Pelodiscus sinensis: one gene and its partners. The protein of the gene in region 4 interacts with the protein of the main gene of each other region in a pairwise test. Links are inferred from orthologs where the notes say so. Each region holds a gene or a part of one and is shown on either strand. Other genes may lie near its edges.

Region 1 (7,840 bases), about 160 Mb from region 4:
ACTTTAAACCCCAACGCTCTCATGCACTCCTTGTGAGCCTCAATAAGAGGCCCGCAGTGCTCCTCCCCTTTCTCAATGATGCTGTAATGCAAAAAGATTTCCATGGTTAGCTAGCAAAACCACGTAATACTCAGATTTGTAAGGCCAATGGACTCTTACACGTGAAGGTCCACAAAAAGTATCCATTTGCAACAGACTTTATAGTAAGCAGAGACTAAAATCTGAAATAATCTGATTTAATTTAAGGCTGTCCTTAAACTCAGATGGTTTGTTGTTTGACTTTCCCTGCCTGTTTTAAAATATGTAAAATAAATACAATTCAAAATGGCAGTAATTTCAAATTTGCTGTATAGTTTACACCAGGGAGAATTAACTGATATACTTCAAAGAGATTATCCTCATAGAGTTACTGCACACAGAAAGATAGCACATAGTAAAGACACAGACTGTCTTCCATCCTTCCCCATGAGAGTGACACCACTGGCTACCCTCAGTTAAGATGGCTGCCAGTCTTTTCAAGTGGAAGGGAGGCAGCCCGTAGTAAAATGGCTGCCAGCTAGGCTCTGTGGTCAGAGAATCTGGTCAGTACAAGGAGACGGGCAATGTTAACATTACAAGCACACTCATTAACCATTTTATTTTTGCTGCATTGCTGAAAACTCACTTGACACTAATGGTGGTTACTGCCAGAGCTGCACCTCCTTCCCCTCACCCTGGCAGTGGCTAGAGCTGGTGCTCTCCCCTCCTTCCCCCTCCAATGGATGGGGCTGGAGTTGGAGCGGGTCCTTCTCCCATTGCAGTGGCCAGGGTTGTCAAGCCTACCAACTCTCCCACCACCATCCCCTGGGCAGTCAGTCCCTCTCATGAATTTGTTTATTGCCCAGGAACTGTCTGTAACTTTTACTAAAAATAACTGTGACAAAAATCTTAACCTTTGCTATGTGACTTTAATTAGGCCCATAAAGTGCTAAGAAGTGACAAGTGTAAGACAGGAAGCTTGCACTGTTACAGAGCTTGCTTTGATATCCCAACACTACCATTTTCCCACAGAGAGGTAAAGAGTATTTCCCACAACTGCTCTCCCACTCATGATCCTGAGAAAAGTTAGTATTGCTTATGTTATATCAGACAGTGTTAGGCTTAGAAAACGGGATTCAGAGCACAAAATAGCACATAAAGTATACTGCAGAATAATATATAAGTTCTGCTGAAGGTAAACTTTTTATCCTATCTAACGTTAACACTGGATTCTCTTATTATCTACATAAGTGCTTTTTCAAATCCTAAGAATTTACCATGAAGGATATCTAGTAGAAGTTAACACCATTAGATAGTTATTGGTTGTGTAAAATAGCCTAGTTTTAAAGTGTCCAATGTAAAAGAGTATCTGACCTTTCCTTTGAGGAAGTATTTCATGGCCTGCCATGCCCCACACTCAGGAAGTTAGTCTGATGTTTAGCCTTCACTGTACTATTTTAATTTTTAACTACACTAGGGGGCTGTGCCCCCTGCTTGCTACCCTCACCAACCCCTTCTTTCTGGGAATAGGTGTGTGGCCAGGGAGAGGATGCAAGAGCAGGCTGGGGGTAAGTGTCTGGCCAGGGGGGCGGCGACAGGAGTAGGCTGGGAGTGCAGGGTCTCGACCAAGGGGGTATGTGGAGTCTCAGCAGAGTGTGTGTGTGTGATGGGGCTAGCGGCCCCCACGAGGGGGGAGGGCATGTGGCCCCTAGCTCCGGCCCACTGGAGTACCAGGGAGGGAGGAAAGAAGCAAGGTGGCAGAGGGAGGGGCTATGGGATGCAAAGTGATGTGATGACATCACTCTGTTGTCCCACAGGAAAGGGTTTTTTGTACACAGAGAGATAAGACAAAAAGTCAAGTAATGTATATGAATATGTATCACCCTAAATAATTCCCATGCCTACTGTGGGGTTTACATTTTGTAATTGTAGATAGCAATTCATTACTTAAGAGCCACTGTGCACTTGCTGATTCACTAACTTGCATACAGTCCCAGCCCCAAAGGAGCAGTCAGCACCATGTGACCTGCAAGCTTTGCATGGAACATGAACCTACTGCACTACAGCATTTTCACTTGGAAGTTAATCGTGTAGTTAACTGCACATTGACAAACAGCCTGCTCTTATCGGTTAATCCTACTGACTAGAAGCATTCCCCCCCCCCTTTTGCTGCCTTCTATCAGAGGTTGCAAAGCCGGAGCAGAGGACAGAAGTGGTGCCCATGCGGCGACAGCTTTTAAGTCAGCTCTCTGAGCTGCCTGCTTCCCCTCCCCCCTGCTGCCTCTGATAGAGAGGCAGCAGCACGGATAGCTAGAGGGGCAGGCGGAAGCCAGTACATGTGGGGAGCCAGGTGCTGGATCTGCAAAGCCACCTGCTCCCCCCCCCCCCGCCTTGCTGCGAGCAAGGGAGGCAAGAGCCAGTGCTCGGGGGGATTTTGAGGGGGGGAGGGGTCATCTGTCCACCGGGAACCAGCTCGGGACTGGGGCGACACTTTAAACCCAGGCGGGCCTGGATGGGTCGGTGCGCGTGTGGCCCCAGGGGAAGCCTCGCGCCCCGCTGAGGCACAACCCGAAAGGGGCCCCCGCTGACACCGCCCCGGGCCGGCACTTCCCGCCGAGCCGGGCCCAGCTGCGTCGCTCCCGGGCTGCAGCGAAGGCGGCCGAGCAGCCCGGTGCGGTCGGGGCCGGGGGCAGAGCGAAGCGCCGCGGCGGGGGAGGGGAAATGGCGGCGCCCGCCCCGCCCCGCTCACCAGGCATCTCGCGCCTTCTTGGTGTCGGGGCAGGCGCAGCAGGGCTTCAGCGGCTTCTTCTCCGGCGGCGCCGGGCCCGGGGGCTCGCAGCTGGCGGACGCCAGGCTCGACATTTCCGGCGGCAGCGGCCCAGGCTCCCTGCGGACACAAGGGGCTGGTCAGAGCCGCCCGGCTGCCCCCACCCGAGGGGGGGGGGTCTCGGCACAAACCCCCCCACCCCTCCCTTTCCCACATGCGCAACCCTCGCATGGTCCTACCGGGGCTCGCGCACGGATCGCCAAATGCGCACGCGCCCTCCAGGGCCGGGGCTGCGAGCGGCAAGACCTGACTGCGCCTGCGCGCCCCGCTCGGGGCAACGCCGGGAAATGGAGTTCTTCTACCGAGCCACGCGCCCCTCCCCCCCCCCCCGCCATTGCCCGACTCCTGCCGCCCCTCCCCCCTATTGCCGGCTTCCCTCTTCTAGCCCCGCCCCGTGCCTGTTGCCGGCGGGAGCCGCGGGGCGGGGCTGCTGGCCCCGAGGAGAGGCGCTTCCCCGTGTTCGTTAGCGCGGCCGCCCTGGGGCGCGAGCAGCGGCGGGTCGCACTGCGGGTGGCGCCCCCGGCTCACATGGCCTTGCAACTCCCGCCCCCCAGCACTAGCAGTGTCTGCCCCACAGGCACTTTGGAGCCAAATCTGCAACGGGACAGCGAGTTCCCCTCCAAAAACCTTTACAGGCGAATATCCTATGTATGGGGGCAGCCCTAGACTAGCTGCCAGCAACTGGCGCCCTAGGCGAACCATGCAATCGGCACCCCCACCTCCAAACCCCTGGATGATACTGCACCACCATTTGGCGCCCCATTTAACTTGGCACCCTAAGCGACCGCCTAGTTCACCTATATGGATGGGCTGCCCCTGCCTATGTAACGCATCACAGAGGAGATCCCCTTTCTTAGTGCCCTTCCTCTCACAGCACCCTGGCTCAAAGCAAGCCCATTCTTTCTTGAGGGATTTACTTCTTATTCCACCCCAAAGCTCATGGGAAATGCCAAGGATGAGGACTAGATAACCAATCCTTAGTTGCTACCGCAATGATTAGGTGGGGCAAAAGCATTTTCCTTAGCTCCCCATGCTTCTACCAAGGAGAAGAAAAAAGTTTGATCCTCTTCCCCAGGCCCCCAGCTTCTCCCTTTTATCAGGTTGAATGGATCAGGGTGTCCCACTCACAGTGCAAGTGATTAAGATCTTGGTTGGTGTTAATGCAGTTCCTTAGAATGCAGATCTTTTAATCTTATCCTGACCTGAAAGCGGCGTGAGGAAATTCTTACTCGTTTTGCCAACAATCCATAGAGCAGATTCAACTATCCAGTGCCAAGGACCACAACCTAATATTCCTGCTTGTCTGTTACTTTGTGGGTGCAATCAAATTTATCGGGTCTTTACGCTTCTGTATTGTGAGTCTAGATGGCTGGGGAGGACTGGCTAAAAGATGAACCAGTTATCTAAATATACAAAAGTTTTTTCTGCTATGCAACAGAATGATGTCATCAACCTACTTAAAAGTGGAGTCTTAGTGTCATGCTTACCTGTGCTTCCACCAGTACCAACTGCAAAACTGAGATCTGTCTGTAGATCCATCTGTAACATGTAGTATGTGAGCAATAGACCAATTAACAGTTTTTTTCTAAACCGCTTTTCTAAATAGTCAGTGCGAGATTAACAGGCTCTCTGGCTGCTTAGAGGGGGGTTGGTAAGCATAGCAAAAATGGGGCCCAGCCCACTAGTATATCTGGTCACCAGAATCTGTGTTTGCCATACATATGTAGATACAACACAGGTGGAACTAGGAATGAAATGCCTAAAGACATTTCTTTTGCCTAGTGTCAGAGATGTTCCCCACTCTGGCACTCTGAATGCAGAAGGCGGGGGCCTGCAAGAGACATTAAATACCTTATTTCTATAGACTCTTCTTATAAAAACTCCCCAGTGTCACAAATTCACTGACTTTGGGAGGTAGCTGTTACCATCAAGTGATTTAATCCCTAAAAAAAACAGAAAAAAACACTTGAAATTCTTCCCAAGGGATACCCCAAGTGAGCTTGAAAAAGAAACAACAACAAACCCCACAGTAAACAAACTGTGTCTCTGATAGGGAACTCTCAGGCTAGGCAGGCACACATAAGAGACCTCCAGGACACAAGAATCAAATCATCACCTTAAAAGTGATTTTATTAACAAAAGAAAAAAGATACTTGATAAAGCATACTTGTTTGCTAGGTGCTACAGAGCAACTGAGGAAAGAACAGATTAAAACACAGAGAAAAATGGTATCTCTGGGCTGTAGCTTAAATATGGTGAGTGAGGGAGGGAAGGCGTGGATTCACACAGAGAAGTTTAACCAAACAACCAAAACAAAGGAACATTCCCAGATTATGACTAAATATACATTTTCTCCTTATTTACTCACGATCCCTTCATGATCCAGTTCACCTCTATGGCATGAGTTCCTTGGAGGCATGGTAGTCCTGCCTGGTTTAAATCATTCTCTTTCTCCCAATTCCTGGCTTAAAATTCACATAGAGAGAAACGGCTGCAGGTATATATTTACAATTTAAATTTCAGCTCTGTATCACATTGGTTCTTCTGGCTCCCTGCCAACAACAGCCTTAGTAACCTAGGTTTAACCCTTTAGTTACCAAGTGCTGGCCATCACACCTACTTTAAAAGATTCTATATATCATTCACTACTAGATAAAGAAGATTCAAAAGAGCAGTTTGGACCATGCTGCAGATGTTAAGCTCATGGCTCTTTGATACAGAGAGGACTGAAAGCTGCTCTAAAACAGTTGCTGGGTTGGGTGTTACCCTGGCATGGAGGATTCCTCAGGTGATATGAAGCTAGTGCAGCCACCACTACCCTAAAACTCAGGGCCCATTCTTTATATCACCTTTTTCTGAAACAGGAGCTCTTGCACAAGAGGGCAGTGTGGATGCGTGGCAGGGATTTCTTGCGCAAGAAAGCCCTATGGCTAGAATGGCCATCAGAGTTTTCTTGCGCAAGAGAGCGTCTACACTGCCATGGGCACTCTTGCGCAAAAGCACAGCTCGCACATGGCAGTGTGGACGTTTTCTTGCACAAGAACCTTTGTGCAAGATGTTCTTGCGCAAGAAGCTGCGAGTGTAGACATAGTGTATGTGTGTAGGGGGTTGTTATTTCTTTTACTGTTTGAAAAGTGTGTTACTTTGGGATTTTGACTGGTCTGTGCATTTAATCATTTTCATTTCTCTCTTATGGTTAAATTTAATTATTTGAGGAGTGAATTCTAAAATGCCTAACCTCTCACGGCTGGAGTAATTATCCCTATGGTAATTGCTACTCCTGGAAGTGGCTGGCATGTCCCTGCAGCCCCTGAGAAAGGCAGAGCAGGGGGTCTCCACAGGCTGTCCTTGCCTGTAGACACTGCTCCAGCAGCTCCCATTGATCAATAACGGGGAACCGTGGCAAGTAGAAGCTGTGGGCTCAGTGCCTGTAGATGAGGGGCAATACATGGTGCTATGGAGCCATTGTTGTACATGCCAGCTACTTTTCAGAGTGGTGCAGGGCCAGGGCAGGAATAAACCTGTCTGAACCCCACTGCTCCACTACCCGGAAGCTGTCTCTGTTAAATGGTGCCCAGCCAGAGCCTTCATCCTGAGCCCCTGTCCCAGCCCTGAACCTCCTCCTACATCCAACCTCCTGCCCCAGACATGAGTCTCCCTGTACCCAAACTCTTTCCCAGAGCTTGCACCCTGAAACCCCTCCTGAACCCCAATCCTCCACCCTGGGCTAAACCCGGAGCCCCTCCCACACGCCAAACCTCTTGGCCCAAGAGCAGAGCCTGCACCCCAACCCCCTACCTCATCCTGGTGAAAGTGAGTGAGGATGGGAGAAGGGGGATGCAGTGAGCAGGGTGAGGTCTCGGAGAAGGTGTGGAGCAGGGGCAGGGACTCAAAGAAGGGGTGAGAAGGAAGCAGGGAAAGGGTATTTGGGTTTGAGGTAGATCTTACATTGCACTTAAATTGAAAAAGTGATCTTGTGGCTAAAAAGGTTGGAGACCACTGCAGTAATGTAAATCATTGCCTGTCTTTTCTGTAATGGCAGATGAATGACCTTCAGGAATATATGTCATACTGAAAGCTACCAAAGGATTTGCGCCAATGGATTTTCACTTACTGTGATATCCAGTACCAGGGAAGGTGGTACAATGAAGAGGAAATCCTCAATGAGATGTCAGAACCTCTGAAAGAAGTATGAGACAGAGCCTGCCTCATAGCTCTTGGGGAATGTCTACACTTGGAGCTGGGGATACCTACACTAGCTTGATCAGAGCTACGTGCAAAAATAGAGTGTAGCTGCAGTGGCAGAAGGCGCTAATCATTCTGAGTTACATGCCTAGCATTTTGGACAAGTGTGTACTGGTGCAGCTGGCCTCTTCTGCGATGATGACTACACTCTGTTTCTAACATGTTAGGTCAATCAGAGCATGGGGACATAGCCATACTCTTAGGCTACATCTACACTACGAGTTTTCTCAGCAAAAATGCTAATGAGAGACTAATTTGCATGAGTCACAATCTCATTTGCATATTTTCTGCCAATCAGTTTTTGTGCAAAAATAAGCAGTGTGGACATTTTCTTTTAGCGCAAAAACCCCTTTTTCCGCAAGATTACAATCTTGAGGAAAAAGGGGATTTTGCACTAAAAGAAAATGTCCACACTGCTTGTTTTTGCGATCTTGCGGAAAAAAAGGGGTTTTGCGGTAGAGGAAAACATCTACACTGCTTGGTTTTGTGCAAAAACGGATCCGCAGAAAATATGCAAATGAGATTGTGACTCATGCAAATGAGTCCCTCATTACCATGTTTTTGCCAAAAAAACTTGTAGTGTAGACATAGTCTTAGTCAGCATGAAGCAACTTGTAGCAGTGGAGTATGGTCAGTAAACATGGCACTAGTATTTCAATCAATCCCTAGGGGAGTGGTATATGAAATGTTAAACTGCATGGGTATATCTACACTACCACCCTAGTTCGAACTAGGGTGGTAGTGTAGACA
Region 2 (7,708 bases), on a different chromosome or scaffold from region 4:
CCACCATCAAGTGAATTAAAACCCTGAAAACAAGGAAAAACACTTGAACTTCTTCCCAAAGTGTACATAAGCTCTTTTACCATGAGAGCTTAAAAAAAGAAAAAAAACACAGAAAATAAACGCCATCTTCCTGGGCCCTGCAGCACGGGGGAGGACTGGGGGACGGCGATACTCTGCCCCAGTACACCTACAGTGGGCATTCTGGGAACAGAGTGTGGGCAGGGCCAGCCTGGTGGTCTGGGAAGCTGCCCATGAGTTCCCCCTGCTGTATGTGTACTGGCCCATAGATTTCCCTCCTGTAAAAATGCAGTTGACACAAACAATAAAAGATTCTGTTGATTCTGAAATCATCCATTTTTATTTAGGAAACACAGTGAACAGAGGCAGAAGAAGAGTTCAAGGCATGAGCTCTGATGGCAGGGGAGAGCTCAAGGGCAAGAAGCTTATTACAATTAGGGGTGTCAACGTGAAGACAACTACATGATTAACCGATAAGCCTTTTGTCAACTATACTCACTCACTCTGCTCCTCCCCACTCCTTATGAGCATGGACCTCTCTACCCCCATACTTCTGCCTCTGATAAAAAGGCAGCAGCACAGAAGGCGAGGGGGGCAGGCAGGAGCCAGTACATGCAAGAAGCCAGTTTTCAAGACAGCAGCCTGTTCGTATGGGCTCCTGTGGAGCCACCTGCCCTTCCACACTGCTGCCTCTCTCCATGGGGTCCAGACCAGAAGGTTAACTCTTACAATGAATGAAGCACTGTGCTGCACAAAAAGCATATATTATGTACAAGGCCAAATCTATCATTTTAAGCACCTGTCAGGCAGGTAGAAGACACAGATCAGCATGGGGCAGGGGAGGCTGATACATGGGCAGCAGCAAGGGGTGGCAGGGAACTCCACAGCAGTGCAACTGGTTGTGTATTGGATTCTGGCCCCACCCCTGGAGACTGTGGAATAGTCGTGTAACCTTTAAAATTTGATGAGGTTACACAACTATTCAATTACAAACTATCGATCATCCCTAATTACAATGCCCTTGTATAGCAATCAAAGCTGTGGGAATGAAAGCCTTCTGGTCTAGGAGACATCCCTGGGAGTTGAATGAATGGTTTCCCATGACTTCACCCCATACCCTGCATTCCAGGGCACCTAGGAGAGGTGACTATGGAACTTGGTGAAGAGGGCAGGTGGTTTATCATTGGGTGCAGAGGGGACACTGCTCCATATGCTTTTCTTGCATCTCTACCTGGCACCTCATCAGCTCTGTTTGCTCCCCCACAAACCTCAACGTCTCATCTCACATCCTATGCTCATGTTCCGTGTATGCTCTCCTCTCCTCCTGTTCGACGTTTATGATCTGTAACATCGTTCTCTTCCATGCATTCTGTTGAGCTCTGTCAGTGTGGATGGATTTTGAACTTGCCCATTTAACATTTCATCCCATGTACATTTTTTTCTTTCGCCTTCTGATCTGTGACAATGGATGTATTGGTGGATCTAGAGAAGTGGGTAACAGAGTCATCGTTGCAGCTACCTTGAGTGAAAAAAGTCAAGGGTAAACTTTAGAGAAGATACATTGTAAGACACAAAAGGTTAACTCTTAGTATGAATAAAGTATGTACAAAGCCAAATATATCATTTTAAACATCTATCAGGCAGGTAGAAGACACAGCTCAGAATGGAGCAAATGGACTTGGTTTGGTGGCAGGGATAGTAAGCAGCATATTGAGATTCTTACTCTTTTGATTATGCTTTTAAAATATGTGTGACAGTGTTTGCAAACTACAGCCCTCATTGCTATCTAAGCATTTGCATTTGCAAGAGGGGCCACATTCATGAGGAACCCTGCAAGTGGGTGAACCAGGCGGGTTTTTAGAGGCTCGTACATTCAGCATGTGTTTTCCCCACGCACTCCTCTGTTATACCTGCAGACTGCAATTCTCCCTTCCCACAGTGACCTGCATAAGGAGAGGTGGAGTGAACCTGTTCTTCAGGATAATCCCTTCAAGCCCTTTACAATGATGGCTGCAAGTCTGGGGTCATGATTTTCCAGAGATGAGCAAAAGGAGGCAGTTTGCCTCAGTGCTATCAATTACAGAACTTCCACTTTTTCATCCAGGTTGCCATGCGTGATATCAGTCTTCTCCAAATCAGAGAGTATGACAGAAAGTGGATGCTGACTGAATGTGCTCAGAAATCTGTATCTTATTCTGCTATGCTTTGTGCTGCAATGATGCCAGATCACTTACTCCTAGCTTGGTGTGGAAAGATGGCCTACTGTGGAGAACGGAATAAGGCAGGCCTTCCCAGAAACCTTGTGAGAAGAATTAAAGAGTACTTCTATGAGAGCGTTGCTAAGATGTACAGGGAGGATTCCCGCTTCATCTCCAGATATGTTTACAAACTTTACCAGAGAGCCCATGCTGTGTAGGCAGAGTGGCTGCCACTATACCTCTCAGGACAGAGCAAACAGAAAAATCCAATTACATTTACCCACTGTAACTTGATTACAAAAGTGAATTGACCAGAAGTGCCCTCCCCACCATCAGGGTCCCACAGCAATACATCCCGGGAGGAGATTGGCCTCCTGGCTGTCAGTGAGACTGGATATCAATGTTTCTTCTGCTGCTTTGGAATTCTGCCTGCAAAAATTCCTCTCCTCGTGCAGCAATCAGATACAGGATTTCCTGCATGCTTCATTCTGGAGCTCATTTATGACTCTGGCATTCATGGTCAGGTATGCTGCTGAGGTGTGTTGCTGAGCTTGCCATGTGGCAAAACAGGAAATGAAATGCAAAATTTCCTGGGGCTTTTCCTCTGTACTGGGAGAGTAGTAGAGTTGAAAGTACTGGCCAGAGCAGTCACAGTGGGACACATCCTGGAGTTCAACAACATCGACTTTACCAAAACTGTGTCTGAACGATCCCAAAGTTGATCATGCAAGGTCAGATTTAGCACTACTGTTGTCAAGGGGAAATACAAAAATCTACTTTAACCACCCCTAAAGTCAGCAGAACATGGAGGAAGCTGAGCGTGTAGGTTAACAAAGATTGTGGGGACAAAGGATGAAAGCTTGGCCCAAATGAAGTTAATGGCAAAACTGACATTGTCTTCAATGGGGTCAGGATTTCACACAAATGAAACTAATGGAGTCCGTGAAGAGAAGAAGAAACTGCCTGAGAAGGTGCTGAAGTGACATGGCTAGCTGAAAGAATTATGTCTACAGTGAGAATATAAGAAGGGTTGGTCAGAAAATGACAAGTATTTTCAACAAAAAAAAATCACTGAAACTAAAATTTTTCATTTCTTTCAAAATCTTTCAGTGATTTGATGAAACAACTCAATTACTTTCCCCCTCCAATCCCTCCAGATCAGTAAGCAGGAAGAGAGAATTAATAAGGAACAAACATTTTCTATTAAAAATGAAAAATGTTTATATTCATTTTATTGAAAAATCAAAAAAGTAAAAGAAACACAAACTTTTTGTAATAATGCTAATTTCCAACAAAAAGTCATTTTAAACCTAAAAAAATAGAAACCACTATAATTTGAGGGCCAATGAGGTGATCTAAGGGGACGTCATAGTGGAACAATTGAGGGGAGTGAGACACTGGGCTGGAGGGGTGGTTGAGACTGGCAAAGGAGTGTTTGTGGTGGCAGTGAGACAAAGGAAGGGGGTAGTCTTGTGGCACCTAAGAAATCAACAAATATACGGGATCATGAGCTTTCCTGGGCAAAACCCACTTCATCAGATGAGTTGGGCAAAAGGAAGGGAGTGACGCTATCTGAGAAGTCATGGGATGGTGGGACTGGGGGGGGGGGGGGAGGAGTTGTTGAGACAGCACAATGGCCTGAGAGAAGTGTGGAAGTGAGGAGGCTGAGGTTGGGTATTTGGGGGCAGGGAAATTCCCTGAAAGTGGGTTCGGGGGGAGGGGAATGAGACTGAGGGGCTTGTGGGGCTGATGTTGCTTAAAGGGATTCAGTTAGCACTGAAATGCTTTGAGGGTCATTGGAAGAGGGGAGAGGGAGACAGATGAAGGTATATTGTGGGGATGGTGGGACTTTGAGGGGTAGATGAGGAACTGCTGAGGCTGTGACTCAGGGGCAGAAGTCAGGGCACCAGCGGGAGGGAGTGTTGAGGGTGACACTGAAGCGGGGGCACAGCTGCTGAACCTTGGGTGGGGTAGGGCAGAAGGGAGCCTGAGGGAGAGCTGAGGATGGGTTCGTCAAATCTGAGGGGGGGGGGCAATGATGCCAACGGAGGGGCTGGGGCCAGGCAGGGCAGTGAGGGCCAGCGGGCTGTCCGGGGCGGTGATGAGGATGCGCGGGGAGAGGTTGAGGCGGCCAGAGCCAGGGGTCTGGCGCGTGCAGTTCCCGCGGCCGCCCCTAGGGGACGCGGCGGCGGGGAGGGGCGCGGTCCCGCCCCGGCTCTCTCCGGCCCGGCATGCAGCGCGCCGCAGTTTGAATGGCGCAGGCTCCGCGGAGTGGGCCCCGGCGCTAGGACTGCCACGGATCAGCGCCGCCTCCTCGGCTCGGCTTGGCCCGCAGCAGCGCGGTACCATGAGCAGCGGGTGAGTGGGGCGGCTGGGTTCTCGGGCCCGCTCTCGGCCACGGCCCTTCCTCCCTTGGGGCTGAGCCCGGGGCCGCTCCCTGGGCCGGGCAGCGCGGGCGCCTGGCTCCGCAAGGGAGGCGTCCCGAGCGCCCGGCCCGCAGCTCAGCCGGGGTCGCTGGCAGGGCTCAACCGGGGTTGCACTGGCGCCTCTGCGGCGTTAGGCCGTGGCTGGTGCCAGGCATGGTCCCTGGAGGGAGGGGCTGACAGGCAGGGTCTCTCCCGCCGCGTCTCTTCCGGCTGGACAGGTGCCGCTGGGGCGGGGATACTCTCCTGGCACGTCTCTGAGTGTTGTCACAGGCCTCGCAGCTCGGTGTGTGCCGGGGCGTGGGCTGACCCGACAGCCGCCCGGCGCCTCTTGTCTCCGCCACCGTCTGCTGCTCGCCTGTGCAGCCCCTACGTGCGCCCGCTTTCTGGGCGGCCCCCTGCCGGGAGACGTTACACGTGCCATTAGTGACACGGCTCCTTCGTTTTACCTGGGACAGTGTCCGCCCCCCAGAGGCGCGAGATTGGGCAGAGTGTCCTTTCCTAGCAGGGTGATGAGATGAGCCGCAGTTTAAAACGAGATCCGTGAAGGTGTAGGAGCTACCAGGGCGGCTGGAACGCATATCCTGCGATTTGCCCTTATTTACTCTGTTTAGTGAGTGAAATTGGTGTCTTATTCCTGGGGGAAAATAGAGGTGAAAGTAAGCGGGTGTGCCCTGGTGTGCAGCTCCAGCGGCAAAAACCAGCAGGGAGCTATTTAAAGAGTTGTAGAGACCCGGATTGCGATGGGACAGTATCTATAAGAAGCTTTAAGTTACTTTCACCGCTGGGAGGAAAAAACACACTTCAGGGCTCTGGAGACTGTATTGCTTTGCTAAGGGAGTTTTGGTTTTCTGAGTAAAATACATGACTTGCATTAGCGTCATTCAGTATATTTAGATTTAATTCCTGCTGTCCAAACAAAGTTAGAGAAAATACAAATGATATAACTTATAATAGTTGACATTTTTTAAGACTTTGGAACTATATTTTTATTTTGCAAAAATAACTTTTTTCATTGTGATGTATATTACACTTTTTAGAACTGCCTCAAATCTATATATGGTCCATCAACCATATGAAGAAACTCGCACAGATACAGACAGACATCAAATCTATATGTATTTTAAAATAGTTACAGTCCTTTCTTGGTTATATATAAATTTCCCCTCTAAGCACCTTCCCCTCTTTCCATTCCTCCTAAGCTCTCTGCCTTAAGCGGAGTAAATAGATGCCACTCTGGGTGTTCTGAAGAAAATTTAATAAAATCGCAAATAAAATTTGTAATTTGCTAGTATTCTTTGTTCAAAGGAACAAATAGAACAGATAAAAGCCACTAGCAGAATTATTCTATTCAAGATAGTTGTATCCCCAGTGTAAATAAAATTGATCTACAGTGTTGTTGATGGGTCTGTGTACAAATAATGTTATGGAATTGGTAAAATGAGCATTAGCTTGAATTTCTAAATTTGTATTTGAGAATTGTAGTTTATAGTAATCATATTTGCAGGAGAGCCAGTGAGACGTGCATCTGTTTATATTTTTACTCAATTATCTGTAACACAGATGAAAATTAGTAGTCTCAGTTACTACAGAGTTATCAATGTGTAAAAAATTTTAAAAATCTGTTAAATCTGTGTCTTCACTTTTGCTAGTAATGCCCTGAATAATATCTCAAAGATGCCAATACACTATCTAAGCCCAGGTTTACACTACAGCCAAAGGCCTTCTTAAGGTATGCAGTAGGGCAGCCCATTTAGCAGGTCTTCAAGCAGCATTGATCTTCTTCTCTATAGCTTAGATATAGCCTTACTTGAAAATTTTTTGTAGGGGTTTAGCATTTTATAGGCTATGCATGGTTTTCTGAGTAAAATGCATGACTGTATCTAAGATCTACCTGGCTCTAAACCCGAGGTAGGCAATCGTTTTCATAGGCTGATCACTTAATGAATTTTGGTATTGACCATGGGGTCTGCGGTAGAGATGTAAGTGACTAATCAACTATACAATAAGCATAAGCTTATCAAATAGTTGAATAGTGACTCTACTAGTCACTCCCCCATCAAGTAATTGACTAGTCGATGGAATTTCCATCGATGAATTGATTAAACACAATTTAACATCCCTACCTGGGGCAGAACGGGCGGGGCTGGGGACTAGCCTACCACCAGATTTGTCTGGGGCTGAAGGCTTTGAAGTAAAAATACTGCAAAGGACTCGTGGCTCCTGGCCCTGCTGTTGCTGTGTGGCCTGGCAGCTGCCTAGAGTTGCTACATCTATTTAAAAGGCTCATGGCTTCAGCCCCTGCCGGTCTGGTTCTGTGACCGGGAGCCATTTAAATAGAATCCTGATACCTGAGCCACAGCTGGGCAGCAGAATAGAAATAGAAAGTGACCAGATGCAGTCTGTGGGTGGGATCCAAGTGTTAGGTGCGCTCGATCTCGTCCTTGGGCCACATCTTGCCCAGCCTAGATCTAAACCCTAATTTCCACACCCTTGGTCAGAGAAGCTGCGTTGGTGACTTCGGGGGTGCCATGCCAGGAATTGTGGCAACTGTATAAATTACTTGTTGATCAAAGGGATGGCTTGTAGAGGACTAGAGATGAAAAGAGTTAACTGCTTAACATCATCCTTACTGGGCGATGCTTATGGGTATCCGATTAACTGGCGGGGCACAGGGGCTGCTCCGAGACTAACCATTTATTCCTAATGTTTAACCAGTTACTATATTAAATAATTAACATCCCCATAGAAGACAGGACACAAATAATTAATAGGAAATGGCAAGGATGCGTAGCCTAGCCACAGATCTAAATTTAGAGGGCTCTTGCAAGAGCTTCTTCTCAAGTAGAAAGAGCTCCTTACAGAGAGCATAGCAATGCAGTGAGCAATGGTAAGAGTGACTACAAGGGGAGGAGTCCAACATATTTAAGAATTAGTTACTTTCCTATGGATTTAGGATTATATTAGTTTTCCTATGAACGATGTCCATTTCTGATACAATGAAGAATGTCCAATACACTGGACAAACATATCCTAACTTAGTATAAACAAAAAGACCCATGAGTGAAA
Region 3 (7,742 bases), on a different chromosome or scaffold from region 4:
AAGTAATTGTCCCCCTCTACTTGGTACTCTAGGTAAGGCCTCATCAGTACCATGTCCAGTTCTGGGAGCCATATTGTAGGGAGGATAGGCCTGTCAACAGAGGGGACCAAAGAGGGCAGCTGCCCAGACCCTTTGATTGCTGCCAGAACCCTGGGTGGCACAGTCTGAGGGTATGTCTAGACTACATGGCTCCGTCGACAGAGCCATGTAGATGAGGTTTCTAGACATAGGGAAATAAAGCAGTGATTTAAATAATCGCTGCTTCATTTACATCAAAATGGCTGCCACGCTGTGCCGATCAGCTGTTTGGTGGCACAGTGCAGTAGTCTGGACGCTCCGTGGTCGACAAGTGAAGCCCTTGTCTCGGAAGCCCTTGTCGACCACTCCATTATGCCTCGTGGAATGAGTAGTGATTCCCTTGTTGACCGCGGAGCGTCCAGACTACCACGCTGTGCCGCCAAACAGCTGATTGGCACAGCGCAGCAGCCATTTTTATGTAAATGAAGCGGCCATTATTTAAATCGCCGCTTCATTTCCCTTTTTCGAGTACACTAATCTACATGACTCCGTCGACAGAGCCATGTAGTCTAGACGTACCCTGAGTGGGGTTGAAGGGCTGGCGAAAAGAAGGCTAGCCCCTGCCCCAGCCCCACCTCTTCCACGAGCACAGAGTTCCACTCCCACACCTGGTCCATAGGCTTGACAAGTCTGTTGGGGCCCCTGAGGAAGGACGTTGGTAGATTGAAGAGCAACACAAATGCTAAAAGATTTAAATACCTGAACTATGAGGGAAGATTTAAGAAATGAGGCATATTTAATCCTGAAAAAAGATGTCCAAGGGGAAACCTGTTATTTGCCTTTATTACAGTAAGGACTTTTATAAAGAGAAGAATGATCTACTAATTGTTGTCTATGTCCCCTGAGGGTAGAACAAGAAGCAAGGGACGCTGTCCCCTGCAAGGGAGATTTAGGTTAGCTATTAGGAAATCTTTATAACTATAAGGATACTGCAAAAGCGGCGAGGAGTCCTGTGGCACCTTATAGACTAATTTCAGTTAGTCTATAAGAGAGAATTCAGTTAGTCTATAAGGTGCCACAGGACTCCTCGCCGCTTTTGCAGATTCAGACTAACATGGCTACCCCTCTGATATAAGGATACTTTAACTCTGGAACAGGCTTCTAAGAAAGATTGTGAAATCACCATCCTTAGGGGTTGTTATGAACAGACTTGACAAACTCTTGTCAGATCTGTTCTAGATATACAGTGAAATTCCAATTGTCCGGCATCCAGTGGTCCGGCACCAACTGGAACCCGGAAGTGCTCCGACAGCTGTTTCAAGAAGTTGTTAGTCAATTACAGTACCTCCGGATGGATCCGCAGGTGACAGGCTCACAATTTATCTTTCCTCAACTGCCTCCGGTGGGGGCGGAGGGAGGGCGGAGGCTCGGTGGGGAACGGCGTGGCAAGGGGCAAACCCTCCGCTGTTTTGCAGGGAGGTAAAGCCTGTAAACAGCGGCGGCAGCAGCGAGGGGGCGAGAGGCAGGCAGCTGTTTCAAGAAGTTGTTAGTCAATTACAGCACCGCCGGGTGGATCTGCAGGTATTTGGTTATGCCTCAATGCTAGGGATACAAAATTCCATTTAATTGATTAACTGATTAAACATGTTGTTTAACCAATTAATGGATAAAAGGAGACTGTGGGAGGGGGTCACTCCAGGGTCGTACTGGCTGGAGTGGTCCCCCACCTACCGCTGGGCTGGAGCAGTCCCTTGCCTGTACTGCAGGGCATCCTGCAGGCAGGAATTTTCTGGCCACCCCTGCCTGGGGCAGGCCCACCTGCAGGGCTGAAACAGGTGGGGAGCTCCTCCAGCCTCCACCAGTTAACCTTAAACAGCAAAACTTTCATATCCCTGCTCAGTGCAGCCCTCCTCTTCTGTCATTCACATTAAACACTTTCAAACAGATTAGTTTTTGCCTTCTAAGTATCTAATATTTAATGAGACTGTCGGACGAGAAGTTTAGCTATTGCAACTTGCTGCCATAGGCAGGTGAAACAGCCTTGCCATTTCTTTAGAATTTGTTTCTAAAACATACTATGAGAAACTTTTTGGGGAAAGTAATATGTGCTTTCCTGGATGTCTGTTAAGCTATCCAACAAAAAAATTTTTATCATGCAACTAAGAGACCATAAAATGGAATAGAATAGAAACACAAATAAAGATAATTTTAAAGACTCCTCATCAATTTTTCTCCCACGATTCTCTCACCGCTGAAGATTAAGCAATCTTTGGAAAACAGGGACCACGTTCTCTTTTTGTACACTGGACTTCTCAGAAGAAGAGAAACAAAACATGCACGACCAGTTTGAGTTTCAGAGAGAAACAAACATTCAAGCCTGTTTACAGCTCAAGCATTTTTCTGCGAGCACCACCAACCAAGAACCTTTCCTTCTCCTAGGGTTGTATTTTCATGTGGCTGGTTGGTTTTCTTGCTGCCTCTGAATCTCTGCCAGTTCATTTTTTGCCTTCCCAGCTACTTGGTCAGAAAAACAGTACATAGTAGAACCACCTGCCCATATGGCCATATTTTCTCAGAAAATTCCATTTTGCATTTTATGTAGGCCTCTTTAATTTTGCCTTGTAGCAATCTTAAGCGAAGGACATGTTCACATACCAAATTCAACAAGGTTTTAACTCCACCCAGGTATTAAAGGAACTTACATTTCTTACAGGTACTGTCCTATAGCATGCCGGTTCCCTGCCAGCTCTTTAAATAGCTCTCTGCTGGCTTTTGCCACAGCTTAGCCAGTTCTTGCTGGAGCTGTGCACTAGCGTGCACCCCCCTTACTTTCACCTCTGACTCCACCCATAACAAGGTATATCCCATTTTACAACTGTAATAATATTTCCAATCCTAAATATTCATACTCATGAGTCAGAACCTCCAAATCATTTGTTTTTTAAATCCTGATTTATTACTACATGTCCCCAGAAAAGGGGACCAAAGCCTGAGCCCACCTGAGTCATACTGCCCTGGGCAGGTGGGGCAAAACCCAAGAGTTTCAGCCCCAAGGGGTGGAGGGAGCCTGTAACCTGAGTCCTACTACCCAAGGCTGAAACACTCAAACTTTGGCCCCAGGCAGTGGGACTTGGGTTTGGGTCCAAGGCCCAGCAAGTACTCGAACCTCTTTAATCTGGCAACTCTGGGAAATAGGGTATGCTGGATTAAAGATTTTGCTGGGCCAGAGAGGACACTGCGGGATCTGGACGTGAGGGGATGAGAATAGGGTGCTTACCTGCTGCCCTACTCCCAGGGGCACATGAAGCTCCATACTCCTCACCGCTTTTAGGCACCACCCCTTGCCATTATGGGAACAGAGGGCAGAAGCATCAGGGTAAGTGGCCCAGCATGCTGCTGTTCCCTCAACGGGTGGGAGACGATGTGGCAGTTCACAGAGCCAGTTTCTCCTCTGTACCATAGATGTTCCTGGATGACGGACACCCAGAATACAGAGGTTCAAGTGTATAACATCTGTCCTGGTGACCCCGTTAAAAGGGGGTCATGATTCACTTGGGGGGTCCCAACCCATATTCTGAGAACCGCAGACATAGGCATGAGTTATATGGATCCGTGCTGCCCAGACACCAGAAAGATTCCTGGTCACGGGTCAGGCTCCACTAAATTCAGAGCTGAATTTTTCGCAAGGCCCTGCCTGCAACCTCTCTCACATCCTCCTGGCCCATTTGCCACCCCCAGACAATTTAAAACTGCCCAGGAGCTCCTGCCATTAACACTGTCAGTGTAGTGGGGCTAGTGCTCATTCTATACAGTTGCCGGCATGTGTGTGTGGCCCCAGGGGTGGATGAGAGTTTTGCGGGGCCCAGGGCAGCACAATTTCTCCAGGCCCCCCTTTGGAGAAAAAAATGGAAAAAAGGCGTCAAATGCACAAATTGAAGGCTATTTTCATATTAAATGTGAATTGGGTAAATTTGATAGAAAATTAATTTAGTTGGATAATTTTTATTCTAATTATATTGTAATTCATTTTTAAACAAAATTCTGCATTAATAAAAAAAGAGGGGGATGTCCAAATGTTGAGCAAAAAAAGTCACCCCCCGCCACAAAAAAAAAATCATGGCACCTTTAAATCTCACACTCTCCACCCCATTCATGGCAGAGCAAGAATGTCCCAACTGGCTTTCCAGTTGAGAAAAACTGAAAATACCGGACATTTTACTGGTCCGGTATTTTCTGGGGGTTTACCACCTGATAGAAGCCACAAATACTGGACTGTCAGGGCCAATACCAGACACCGGGCAACCCTAGTCATAACTCGCGCCTGCATTTACAATAGGCCAAGGACATAAGTTGGGGGATTTTGGCCTCTTCCCCACTTCGGAAAAAGGTCATAATGGTGGTGGCAGGGGGAGGATCGTAAAGCGGGCTGTTATAAAGCAGGGGCCTCTGTATTTGTGGCAGGAGTGGGAAACCTCTCTTGGGTTAGGGGACACTGACTCTACAGAAAAATCAGCTGGGGATCACACAAACGGGCTGGGGACCAGCAGGCCTGGAGCGGATCTGGCCAGGGGTTTGGACTGTGCCCCAAGGCAGGGGATTGGGGTGCAGGGTCTGGGAGGAGGGTTATGTGGGTGAAGACGTGGGAGTGGCTGGGGGGGCCAGACACCTACCTAAAAGTGCTGCTCGCCCATTTCTCCCACAGGAGCTACCTGGCCATGTGCTCAGGGATTAAAAGCCTGAGGGGAGCAGTGATTGGTGGGTTCCCGCAGCTGCCATTGTCCAGGTCCAGCCAATGGGCTTGTGCGGGGGGGTGGAAGCAGCCCTGAGCGACCCTCCCCTGCTGGTTCACAGCTCCTGCACCACAAAGGGCCCCGCCGCGCTGTTCTGTTCTGTTTTGCGTGGGGGTGGGGCTGTTGCTGCCTTGCGGCCAGACCCGACCAGCATGGGGCTTGCGCGGGCTGCCTGTTGCAGTGGGGGCAGGGCTTGAGCTTCCAAAGCGCCACGTTGGGCTCCCTCGCGGGCCCCAGGCTGCCGATCCTGCTCTAAGCAGGGAGGATGAGAGGTTAAAAACACCGGCGCCAGCGCGGGGCCTATTAAAGCACGGGGCCTGGGGCAGCCGCCCCGCTCGCTCTGCCCTATATGTGCCGCTGTGTGGCCCTGTGTGGCCCCTGGGTGGGGGGGAGGGAGGAGGAGAGAGATGTAGCAGCGCACAGATCATGGAGCAACACACCTTCCCCTTCCTTGGCCAGAGTCTGCACACAACATCCATACTTCTTCCTGGAGGTTGCACCTCTTATCCCTGCCTGCACCCACATCCCCTACTGCACCAAACTCCCTCCCATAGCCTGAATTCCTACCCCTTGCCCCAGCCCAGAGCTAGCACCCAAGCAAGATAAAGGAGTTGACAACTCTATTATATAAATACATAGTAGGAAGCATACTCTATCCTGAATTGTTTAGAAACCAGTCAGACACAGAGGAGTTGGAAGCACAGGAATACACATGCATGGAAAGGTAAAGTGATTTGTCCAAAGCCACAAAGTAGGTCAGTGGCTGAGCCAGAAATAAAACTCAGGCATCCTGATTCCTCATCCTTGCCCTCTCTCCGCCCAACCCTTGCTATAACCCTGGGGATAGAGAAGGGAGAAGCACTGAAACTAGGTTTACGTTACTCGTAATTTCTCTGGCCCAACACCAAGGCAATTATGACCCAGTCCAACTCCAGCCCACGGGCAGATCTGTGCGCATTGCCTGCTGGGAGTTGTAGGCTTAATCAGACTACAAATCCCAGTGAACCTCGCAGCAGAGAGTGGCCGCCCAGCCCGATTCCCCGCCTCTTTGTCATTGTCATTGGTTTCAAGTTATGTCTCTGAAACGCGATTGGCTAAGGAGGCTTGTCTGTCAACAAGCGGGCACAGGAGGGGTTGGGATTTTACAGTTAGGCGAGGGGTGGGCGTGGTCGTTGAAGGATGGCGGGGAGGAGGAGAAGGCGGGCGGAGCCCCGGGCACAAGGGGGCGGGGCCTGTGTAGCTCGCTCTGGCTCCTGCGCTGGGTCTATCCGGCGCCGAGCTACCCCTGCCCGAGCGCCCTGCAGTCCCCGGGACGCGACTGTCGCGCTGCCCGCGCCTTGCCCTGGAAGCGGGAGCCGGGAGCCGCCCGCACCCCGAAGCCGAGCCGCCTGCGCCGGGACGTGGGAATCTCCCCGGCTGTGCGGCGATTGCAAACACGCCGCCCTGCCCCGCTTCCCTCCCCGTCGCTGCCGCCGCCGGACCCCGCGGGAAGAGGGGCCGACCAGGCTCCAGCCCGAACAAAGCTTCATACCCCCCTCGCCTGCCGGCTGCCGGCCCGCGCTGTCATGGTGTGGGGAGGCCGGGCCCCCCGTGCCCAGAACCGCGTCTGTCCGGAGAGGCGAGGCGCGTGGCGGCTCTAACGGCGAGAACTTCGACACCCGCGGGGGACGCCCGCGGGCTGGGGGTGCCCTCCATGGGCTGGGCCCGGGCTTTATTGTTCATCTCCAACCGCTGTTGCTGCTCCTGCACCACGAGGCAAAGTTGGTGAAGGTTGGGGCGCCCTGGAGCCGAGGGAGGATGGAGGAGAGAGAGGGCGAGGTGAGGTGGGATGGGTTGTGCAGCAGGGATGCCAGCACCAGAGATGCTGCCTTGGAAAACATCCGGCAGGCTGTTTTGAGGAGAACAGCCCAGGTCTCACCTGTAAAAGAGGATCTTCCTCCTGGGCCATCGGAAGGATGCTTGGCTTCTGCTACAGTTCCGGACAGATTGAATGAGATGCTGGCTCGCCTCCTCATGCTTTCCCAGAGATGCCCCTTTAGAAACGTCAGGGAGAAGAGTGAGTCTATTCTAAGCAGTGTTCAGGTAAGAGTCCCGGTGCCTCTTCCAACAAACAGCCCTCCTATTTCTTATCTCTGAAGCAGCTTAGAGTACCTCATATTTTTAATAGGCGTTATCTTGATGTAGAAAACAGTATAAAGATATAGTGCCTCTTCAGCTGTATCACAGGAAAGCTTTCGTTTTTGAACTGTACTCTCTAGAGTCTAGACTGTATTGTGGTGTTCAGTTCAGACTGATCACGTTAATATTAAACTGGCAGTAGAGCTAGTTTCTGAAGAACTTTATATAATTTGTCCTGAGACATAACTAACCAAAATACTGGCAAAGTTTATCTGTCAGAGGAGTGCATAACATCGATAAGGAAGTAATCTGCTTATAAAGAAGTAAGTGGTGTCCTCAGACATAATCAGCTCCCTTTGCAAGTGAATTCCTGTGCAAATTTTCACAATGAAATATGGGTTTATTGTTGGGGCACAAGTACATTCAGGAGAGCATATGCCCAAATTGTTATTTTAATATAATTGTCAGGTGTTACTAGGGTTGTGACTAAGTCAGTCTTATTAGTATAAAATCAAGACAGATTGTGTTGTCTGAGGCCAGAGACCCTGAAGAAAAAATGCAGCAAATGGTTCATGGATCCTGGCCCAGCCTATACTGCATTGCTTGGCAGCAGCACAGGGTTGCTGTGGCTATTTCAAGGGTTCACAGGTCTGGCCCCTGTCGGGGTAGCACCGCAGCCATAGTCATAGCAACCTCAGGTGGTTCCCAGGCAATGGGTAGCAGCGGGGCTGGGAGTTGCAAGACCTTTAAATTAGGTGTGTAATTGAGTAATATACGATTAACCACTAAGCCTAGGCTTAGTGGTTAATTTTCCTG
Region 4 (8,566 bases):
TAACACATGAATACCTATGTACTATGTTCGGAGTTTTCCAAAGAACTTGTCAAAAAGGAATTACAAGTTGCTATGTTATTTCTTAACTCAAATTGCCAATTTTAGTCCTTTCAAATCTTCAAATTATTTCAGGTAAAGCCTTCAAATAAATGATTTTTGCTAACTTTAGGCTAAATCAAGCCTGACTTGAATATACCTAGATATTTTCTAGCCGCTTTCCTGATGCCAAGAATTCCATATAGAATGAGTCTGTCTTGTGGCTTATATGCTAGGGTGTGAAAGGTCAACTAGGCCCAGTGCTTCACAGGCAGGGGCTGCTCCAGGCATCCAGTGCAGCCCCTGTCCAAGTGGCCTGTGCACATCACAGGCAAGGGCTGCTCCATGCCTCCAATTAAATGAGATTTTACATCCAGCAGTGAAAGTAACTTAAAATTTCTTATAGGTACTGTCCTATTGCAACCCGGGTCTCTGTCAGCTCTTTAAATAGCTCCCTGCTGGCTTTTGCAACAGCTCAGCCAGCTCTTGCCAGAGCTGTGCACCAGGGTGCACTCGCTTACTTTTACCTCTGTTTACATCCCTAATATAAACATCAAGTTGCATGAATCCTAACATTTCACTTGCTTTCAATAAAACATTAACTAGCAAGAATAGCATAGCTGAAAAAAGATACTAGCCTTTACTCCTTTTCATACACTTTTCTGCCTAATTTATTCATGCTGTCCATCATGCCTTCAAAACCATCCCTAATACTACCCTCTCATTTAAGTTGCACTTAAAAATCTCACGTCTCCTACAATGTCTTCAATAAATAAGTCAATTATTTTCATTGGTTTTAGTGTGACCTGCTTTATTTCTCTATTAAAAAAACGAGGTTTACAGGAGCGGTCGACAAAGGCTTCCCTTGTCGACCGATCCGCGTCTTGACTCACACGCTATGCCGACGATCAGCTGAGCCAGCACAACACGGCAGCCATTTTTATTTTAATGAAGCCAGGCTATTTAAATCCTGGCTTCATTGACTATGTCAGGTAGTCTAATTTACATGCTTCTGGCAAGAGAGGCATGTAGTCTAGACATACCCTATGATATATACAGCAGGGTTTAAATAAACCAAAGGAAGTTTTTCTTCACTCAGCTCATAGTCAACCTGTGGAACTCCTTACCAGAGGATGCGGTGAAGGTCTCTGCCCCAGCCTGATGAAAGTGAGTGAGGATGGGCAAGAAAGGGAGGATGGAGTGAGCAGGGGTGGGGCCTTGGAGAAAGGGTAGGAAGGAAGTGGGGAAGGATATTTATATGAGAGGTAGATCTTGGATTGCACTTAAATTCAAAAAGTAATCTTGTGCTTAAAAAGGTTAGAGACCACTGCCTTACAGTGACACAGCAGAACCACTGCCCTATCCTGGTGGAAGAGAGCTCTCCTGCCAACATACCACTGGCCACACAGTCTACACCAGTGGTCCCCAACATGGTGCCCACGGGCGCCATGGCACCCGCCAGGCCATTTCTGTGTGCCCACCGAGTGATCGGGGCCAGCCCTGCCCCCGGGCATGTGGTGCATGGGCAGTGCCAGCCCCTGGGCGCGCAGCGTATGGGTGGCCCAACCCTGGCTGAATGGCGCATGGGCGGTGCCGGCCCCGGGGTACGTGGCACATGGGTGGCCCCGCCGCCGGGAGCGTAGTACATGGGCTGAACGGGCCCCGGGCGCGTGGCGTATGAGCATCCCTGCCCCCGGGCATATAGCACAGGAGTGGCGCCGGCCCCAGGCGTACAGTGCATGGGCGTTGCTGGCTCCAGGGCGTGCAGCCCAGGAGCGGCGCTGGCCACAGGAGTGAGGCGCATGGGTGGCACCGGCACTGGGCATTCAGCATATGGGCGTCCCCGCCCCATGGCACGCAGCGCAGTGGCGGCGCCGGCCCCAGGCGCGCAGCGCTTGGGTGATGCCAGCTCCTGGGCGTGAGGCACAGGAGCGGCGCCGGCCCCAGGAGTGCAGCGCATGGGTGGCACCGGCACTGGGCATGCAGCATATGGGAGGCCCCGCCCCTGGGAGCGTGCGCAGCCGCAGCCCCGCCCCCAGGTGCGTGTGCGGCTCCGCCCTCGGGTGCCCAGCGCGAGTGGCCCCTCCCCCGGGCACCCAGCAACCCCAAAAGGTTGGGAACCACTGGTCTACACTTTTGTCAGTGAAACTTGCCTATGTCTGTCTGGATTGTTTGGGGGGGGGGGTCAGGGGGATTCCACACCCCTGACCAACAAAAGATTTGCAAGCTTCAGAGGGGTAGCCAAGTTAGTCTGTATGGGATAAACTTAAAAAACAACAAATAGTCTGGTAGCACTTTAAAGACTAACAAAACATGTAAATGGTATCATGAGCTTTGGTAGGCACAGTCCACTTCTTCAGATGACTGGAGTGTTAGATGTCCAGAACCAAAAATAAATAGAGGGGGGGGAAATGGGTATATAAATATCAAAGGGAAAGCGGAGCTGTATGTAACAGGCAAAACTGATAATCTATAAGCACCTAAAGACTGGATAGTTACGTGGGAGTGTAGACAAAGCCTTAATGTGCAACCCGGGGAGAGGAGGCTGCCTGCTCAGGAGGGAAGCGCTGGGCATTTCAAAGCCAAAGGGAACTATGGAAAAAGCAAAACCAGGCGTGTGCCTGGACAGAGCAGCTGGTCCAAGGGGCTCAGCCAGCGAGAGGGGCTTCCCCAGAGGCGCTGCACAGCTCACGGGACTTAACGTGTTGGGGGACTGACAGCCCAGCGCCCTCGCTGCCTCCTCGCCCACGTCCCCTGGCGCTGCGCTCAGCCCCTCCCGTTACACACCCAGCTCTGCATCCTCCCCCCCCCCCCAGACACCCCCAGGGCGGAGGCGCCACAAGCCCCCGACAGACCGCGGGCCGCAGCTTCGGCGCCGTTACACAGGCCCAGCCTGCGCTGCTGCAGCCCCCGGTGTCGCGCCCACCTCCGGGTCCCCAGCGGGTCCCCCCCCGACCCCTCCCCCACAGGGTCAGATACCGGGGCGAAGCCAAGCTGCGCCCCCTACCCGGCCACAGGCCGCGCGCTGGGATCTGTAGTCCGCGCCCGCCCGCGCCGCGGCCGGCCGTCACCGCGGGCGTGAGCCCAAGAACTACATCGCCCATCCTGCTTCGCGGCAGAGGCTCCGCAGCTCTCTCCGGCCACAGAACGTTCAATGGCCAGCGCCTCTCGCGCCGCGGTCCCTGTCGGGGTTTGTGTCGCGTCCCCGCCCCAGCAGCCGCGATGGGCGCCGCGTAGTCAGGCCCTGCCCTTACCTGTTGGAGCGCTGCCCTTGCTGCGTGTCCGCGAGCAACTCCGTTAGCCCGTGGCGTGCGCGCGCCGGCGGCTCGTTGCCATGGAGGCGAAGGGCGACGCCCGGCCGTGGTGCCCGGGTATCCCACCGCTCCGCCCTCCTGCCCCGCCCAGCGAGAGGCTGGGGGCGGCGCGGCCTCTCCCGGGGGGAGCCCAGGCCCCTTTCCCGCCGCGCCCGGGGGCAGAGCGACCCGCCCGCCGGCCCCACCTCCACCCGCTGCGACCCAGCCCCACAGACAGCCCCGCCCCCCACGACCCCGGAGCAGGGGGAGTTGCCCGCTGCCCCCCCCCCGCCCAGCCAGGAGCCAGAGGCTGAAATGGTCATTTGGGCCCGTCTGATCAGACACTCCCTGCCCTGGTCCTCCCTGCGGCCCATCTGTGCGCCACCCTCCCGCCCAGCCACACGCCGCCTGCCCCCCCCCGCCCAGCCCGCACACGCCGCCTGCCCCCCCCCCGCCCAGCCCGCACACGCCGCCTGCCCCCCCAACCCCAGCCCGACACACCGCCTGCTCCTCAGCCCCCACGCCGCCTGCCCCCCAGTCCTAGCACCCACACGCCGCTTGCCCCCCCAGTCCCAACACCCACACGCCGCCTGCCCCCCAGTCCCAGCCCCCACACGCCGCCTGCTCCCTAGTCCCAGCCCCCACACGCCGCCTGCTCCTCAGCCCCCACACGCCACCTGCCCCCCAGCCCCAGCACCCAGATGCCGCGTGCCCCCCAGCACCCACACACAGCCTGCCCCCCCAGTCCCAACACCTGCACGCCACCTGCCCCCGAGCCCCAGCACCCACACGCCGCCTGCCCCCCAGCCGCCACACGCCGCCTGCCTCCCAACCCCAACACCCACTTGCCGCCTGGCCCCCAACCCGAGCACCCCCACGCTGCCTGCCCCCCAGTCCCAGCACCCCCACGCCGCCTACCCCCCAGTCCCAGCACCCACACGCCGCCTGCCCCCCAGTCCCAACACCAATACACCGCCTGCACCCCAGTCCCAGCACCCACACGCTGCCTGCCCCTCAACCCCAGCACCCACACACCACCTGCCCCCCCAACCACAGCACCCACACGCTGCCTGGCCCTCCCAGTCCCAACACCCACACACTGCCTGCCCCCCAACCCCAGCACCCACATGCCACCTGCCCCCCCCCAACCGCAGCACCCACACACTGCCTGGTCCCCCCAGTCCCAACACCCACACACTGCCTGCCCCCCAGTCCCAACACCCACATGCCATCTGGCCCCCCCAGTCCCAACACCAATACGCTGCCTGCCCCCCAAATCCCAGCACCCACACACTGCCTGTCCCCCCCCAAGTCCCCACACCAATATGCTGCCTGTCCCCCCCCCCAAATTCTAACACCTAATGCTGCCTAGTCCCACAAGTCCTAACAGCCACATGCTGCCTCCCCCCCAAACCTTCAACACCTACATACTGCCTGCCCCGCAAGCCCCAACACCCAACTCTGCCTGCCCCCCCAGTCCCAACACCCATATGCTGCTTCCCCCCATATCCCAACACCTACACACTGCCTGCCCCCCAAATCCCAACACCTAATGCTGCCTGCCCCCAAAGTCCCAACACCCACATGCTGCCTGCCCCCAAATCCCAACACCTACACACTGCCTGCCTCCCAAATCCCAACACTGCCTGCCCCCCAAGTCCCAACACTCACACACTGCCTGCTTCCCCCCAAGTCCCAACACCCACATGCTGCCTGCATCCCTCCCCATAATACTCCTGTCCCTTGTCCTCTCACATAGTGCCTACCCCTCACATTGCATCTGTCCCCTGTCCTCCCACATACCCATACGCTGTTTGTGAAACTGTGATGTGGAAGCTGGCACTCACCCACCAAACTTCCAACAGATGGGAATGATTAAAATAATTCCAGCCCTGCTGAGCTGGGCTAGAAACAAATTTGTGACACATACAGGAAAGGCTCTATATCTCATTAGCAATGCCTTCACACATCCAGTCTCTAATAAGTAAGGCTAAGATTATGTTATGGATTCAGTGACCTCCATGAGATCTACCTTTTCAGCTGTGGGTGGTGTGTATTTGTAGGCTGTGGGAGGCTCCCCAAACAGTACTGTGTGGCTCTGTCCACACCCCACCAGAAACTCCCTTCTGTTTGCCACTTTCTCCTTGGACCCAATCCAAGCATGCTGCTCCTTTCTGGAACTGCCAGCTTGTGGCCAGGACTTGGTGTGGCTGGGGCCTGGGAGTACTGGGACTGCTTGCCTTGTTCTGGGGAGTGAAACCTGACTAGGAAAGTAGGACTGCAGGAGGAAGAAAGCTCCAATTTAAAGGCTAGGTCAGTGGAAGAATTTTTCAATCAAGCTACTACTGTCTACCTGGGGACTTAGGTTGGCTTTACTATCTCTCACAGGAATGTGGATTTTTCACACCCCAAATGACATAGCTGGATCAATCTAATTATCTAGTGTAGATTAGCTTGTGGATACTAAGAGATTCACAAGTGAGATGGCTAGAAACAACCAAAAAAGGGTATAGATTGTTGGTTTTTGTTTGTTTATTTCAGTAAGGGCAATAGAACAGACAATAGTATTCTGTGACCAAGCAAGAATCATATTCCAAGAGGCAGTACTTTGAGCAGCAGCACATAGTTCAAGAAATAAATACCAAAGTAATTGAGATTTTCACTGGAGGAAAAAAGATAAGGTATGTGCAAGGTATGTGCAAATACAGCTCTCAATGAAACAGCCATGAAGTTGGATTTGGCGATGTTGGAGATGGCAAACGTGGAGAAGGAATGTGATTTAATATAATAACACTTATACTGGGTCAGATCAAAGGTCCATCTGGCTCAGTATCCTGGCTTCAACAGCAGCTAATGCTATATGCTTCAAAGGGAATGAACAGAACAGGTAATCATCAAGTGATTGATCCCATCTCCTGTTCCCAGCTTCTAGTAAATACCAGCCATGGGCAGCCAAAGAGAAATGGACAATGCAAAAAGAGACCCACCGAGATCACTGGAGTTAGAGTGGCAAAAATGGGAAGCAGAGAAAGCAACAGACCAGGAAAGAGAGCTGGAAAGGCAGTTCAAGATCAAAAGGCTAAAATTAGGAAGTCAGGTCCCTTGTACCAGCAATTCTACACTCTTTCTGCTGTTAGAGATCTAAATGTAAAATCCAACCCACAGGGACATCCTGAAGTCCAATGACACTCATAGAGGTGTTGAGCATATAAAAAGTTGAATAAACTATCCTCAGCATTGTGTGTAGCTTTATTGGCCATGACATACGCTATATGTATTATATTCTTCATCAACTAAGTCATCCAAGTATAATTCATCCTATATTATCAATATATGATATTACATAAAGACAGGACTATGCAGCACTTTTAAGCATAGTCCTGTCTTTTGTTTCAGCAAGACCAGACTAACACGGCTACATCTCTATTACTATTGATATTACATAACATAGCCTAAGAATTTATCCCATGGATGTCATCTGCAGCATGTGTAATTGCATCTAGGGCATGTCCACACAGCAGGGCTAAACTTGAAATAAGCTCTGCAACTTGAGCTATGCCAATTGCGTAGCTTAAGTTGAAATAGCTTATTTAGAGTTTTGGCGCTGTCTACGCAGCAGTTATTTTGAGATAGAGCACTCTTCCCCTGACTTCCCTTACTCCTTGTACAATGAGGGTTACAGGAGTCTGAGGCTAGGTCTACACTATGGGGGGGGAGTTGGAAAAAGTTACTACAAATTGCGCTCCGCAATTTGCATAGCTTTTTCTGATCGCTTCTCCAGAAGAGGCTTTTCTGCCATTTGGCCCAATCTAGACAGGACCAAATGGCAGAAAAGCCTCCTCTTTTGGCAGAGCCCTTATCCCTCGTAGAACGAGGAATATAGGGCTCCCCAAAAGAGTGTGTTTGGTGTGCCACAAAAAAAAGTGGAAGAGCAAACGCGTTCCTTGGACGCGGTGGAGTTTTTCCAGGATACTCAGAAAACCCCTGCAGTGTAGATGTACCCTGAGTAAGCAGTCATATTGAAATAACTGCTTGTGTGTAGATGTGGATTATGTTATTTTGGAATAACATCAGTTATTTTGAAATAACACTGATGTATACACGTAGCCCTAGAGTATATAGCAGAGATTGTAGTCTTGTATTCAGGGATAACTCTCAAGAGACAATTTATCCCCAACTGGTATTTAAAAAATGAATTTGTAATGTGTGTTTTGACAACAGATTACATGTACATACAGTGTGACACAGAGCTGTAATGTAAACTGGATTTCTAAATATCCCCAGGAAAAAGGACCATTTTAGACACAGTTATTGGTTAATATTTATGGTGAAAAGTGTCTTTCCTATTTGAAGTTTCATTGAGATTCTGAACATACTCATTTCTTGGAAGTGATGCTTGAATAAATCAGCCACCATGGTTCTCCAAGCAGTAAATATAAAAATACAGCCATATTTTTATACACTCTGCACTATGCTACAAGACTATGTAAGATAACCTTATAAATCCATCCACTGAAAAAAAGACAGTCTTTACAGGATTGTGCTTAAAATATTAATAGAACACTTTTTTCATAGATAAGTATCACATAAGAGAGAGAGAGAGAGAGAGAGAGAACATGTATATAAAAACACCCCTTTCCTGAGACCTCAGAATGGTTTTACCTCTATAAAGAGAGAGAAAAAAGGTAGTTAGCTCTACTGAATAGTTACAGTACAAATAATTTTGCACAGCATCCTTCATCTGAAATCTCACAAAATGATTTACAGAGAAAAGCAGTGTTGCTGATTCCAGGTGTGCTCCTTTGGCAGGGCACTGTTGCCCTTGTCAGGGCCCACTCAGTGTGCCCTTTCCTCATCTCGGGATGGTTCTTTGATTTGGAATTTTGATTGAGTCCAGAAGTGTGCCTCAGTCCCTTGGGTGTGTTCAGGGAGGCAGTCTGGGGGCAGGCCCATATGCAGGAATTTCTGTGTGGGAGAGGGGAGTGTAAACTGTGGGAGGAGCTGGTAGCTGCCTCACCCCCCCCAGTCTCTCTCCTGGGGGAGAATCAGCCCCAGATTTCCCCCAGAACAGCCAGAACATGGGGGAGGGAGATTGCAGCAGCATACCAACTCTGTCTTTTCCAGACCAATCAGAATTGGCCCCATGGTGGACACCTTTGCACCTCCTCTATGTGCAGGCCTGAAGAGTGTCATCCCATCGCTGTTCCACTCCCAGACCTTTTTGCCTCCCTTCCTTG

What was found.
Region 1: the proteins of KATNAL1 (region 4) and cytochrome c oxidase copper chaperone interact in binary tests that used the Homo sapiens proteins (3 or more experiments, as listed by UniProt). The two-hybrid records come from large-scale screens. The link is inferred for Pelodiscus sinensis from reciprocal best matches to the Homo sapiens genes KATNAL1 and COX17.
Region 2: the proteins of KATNAL1 (region 4) and KATNBL1 interact in binary tests that used the Homo sapiens proteins (3 or more experiments, as listed by UniProt). The two-hybrid records come from large-scale screens. The link is inferred for Pelodiscus sinensis from reciprocal best matches to the Homo sapiens genes KATNAL1 and KATNBL1.
Region 3: the proteins of KATNAL1 (region 4) and CEP57L1 interact in binary tests that used the Homo sapiens proteins (3 or more experiments, as listed by UniProt). The two-hybrid records come from large-scale screens. The link is inferred for Pelodiscus sinensis from reciprocal best matches to the Homo sapiens genes KATNAL1 and CEP57L1.

The regions. Positions count from the first base shown.
Region 1 is NC_134711.1:143,106,340-143,114,179, reverse strand, and holds the start of cytochrome c oxidase copper chaperone, read right to left. Parts: upstream 3,178-7,840; 5' UTR 3,025-3,177; intron 2,990-3,024; exon of another isoform or gene 2,906-2,989; 5' UTR 2,881-2,905; coding exon 2,768-2,880; intron 82-2,767; coding exon 1-81.
Region 2 is NC_134714.1:59,894,449-59,902,156, reverse strand, and holds the start of KATNBL1 (KATNB1-like protein 1), read left to right. Parts: upstream 1-4,403; 5' UTR 4,404-4,574; intron 4,575-7,708.
Region 3 is NC_134713.1:77,741,342-77,749,083, reverse strand, and holds the start of CEP57L1 (centrosomal protein CEP57L1), read right to left. Parts: upstream 3,510-7,742; 5' UTR 3,479-3,509; coding exon 3,296-3,478; intron 1-3,295. Other genes in the region: SESN1 (sestrin-1), read left to right, coding at 6,606-6,890. UniProt on the Homo sapiens protein: Centrosomal protein which may be required for microtubule attachment to centrosomes.
Region 4 is NC_134711.1:298,586,669-298,595,234, reverse strand, and holds the start of KATNAL1 (katanin p60 ATPase-containing subunit A-like 1), read right to left. Parts: upstream 3,564-8,566; 5' UTR 3,291-3,563; intron 3,191-3,290; exon of another isoform or gene 3,044-3,190; intron 1-3,043. UniProt on the Homo sapiens protein: Regulates microtubule dynamics in Sertoli cells, a process that is essential for spermiogenesis and male fertility. Severs microtubules in an ATP-dependent manner, promoting rapid reorganization of cellular microtubule arrays.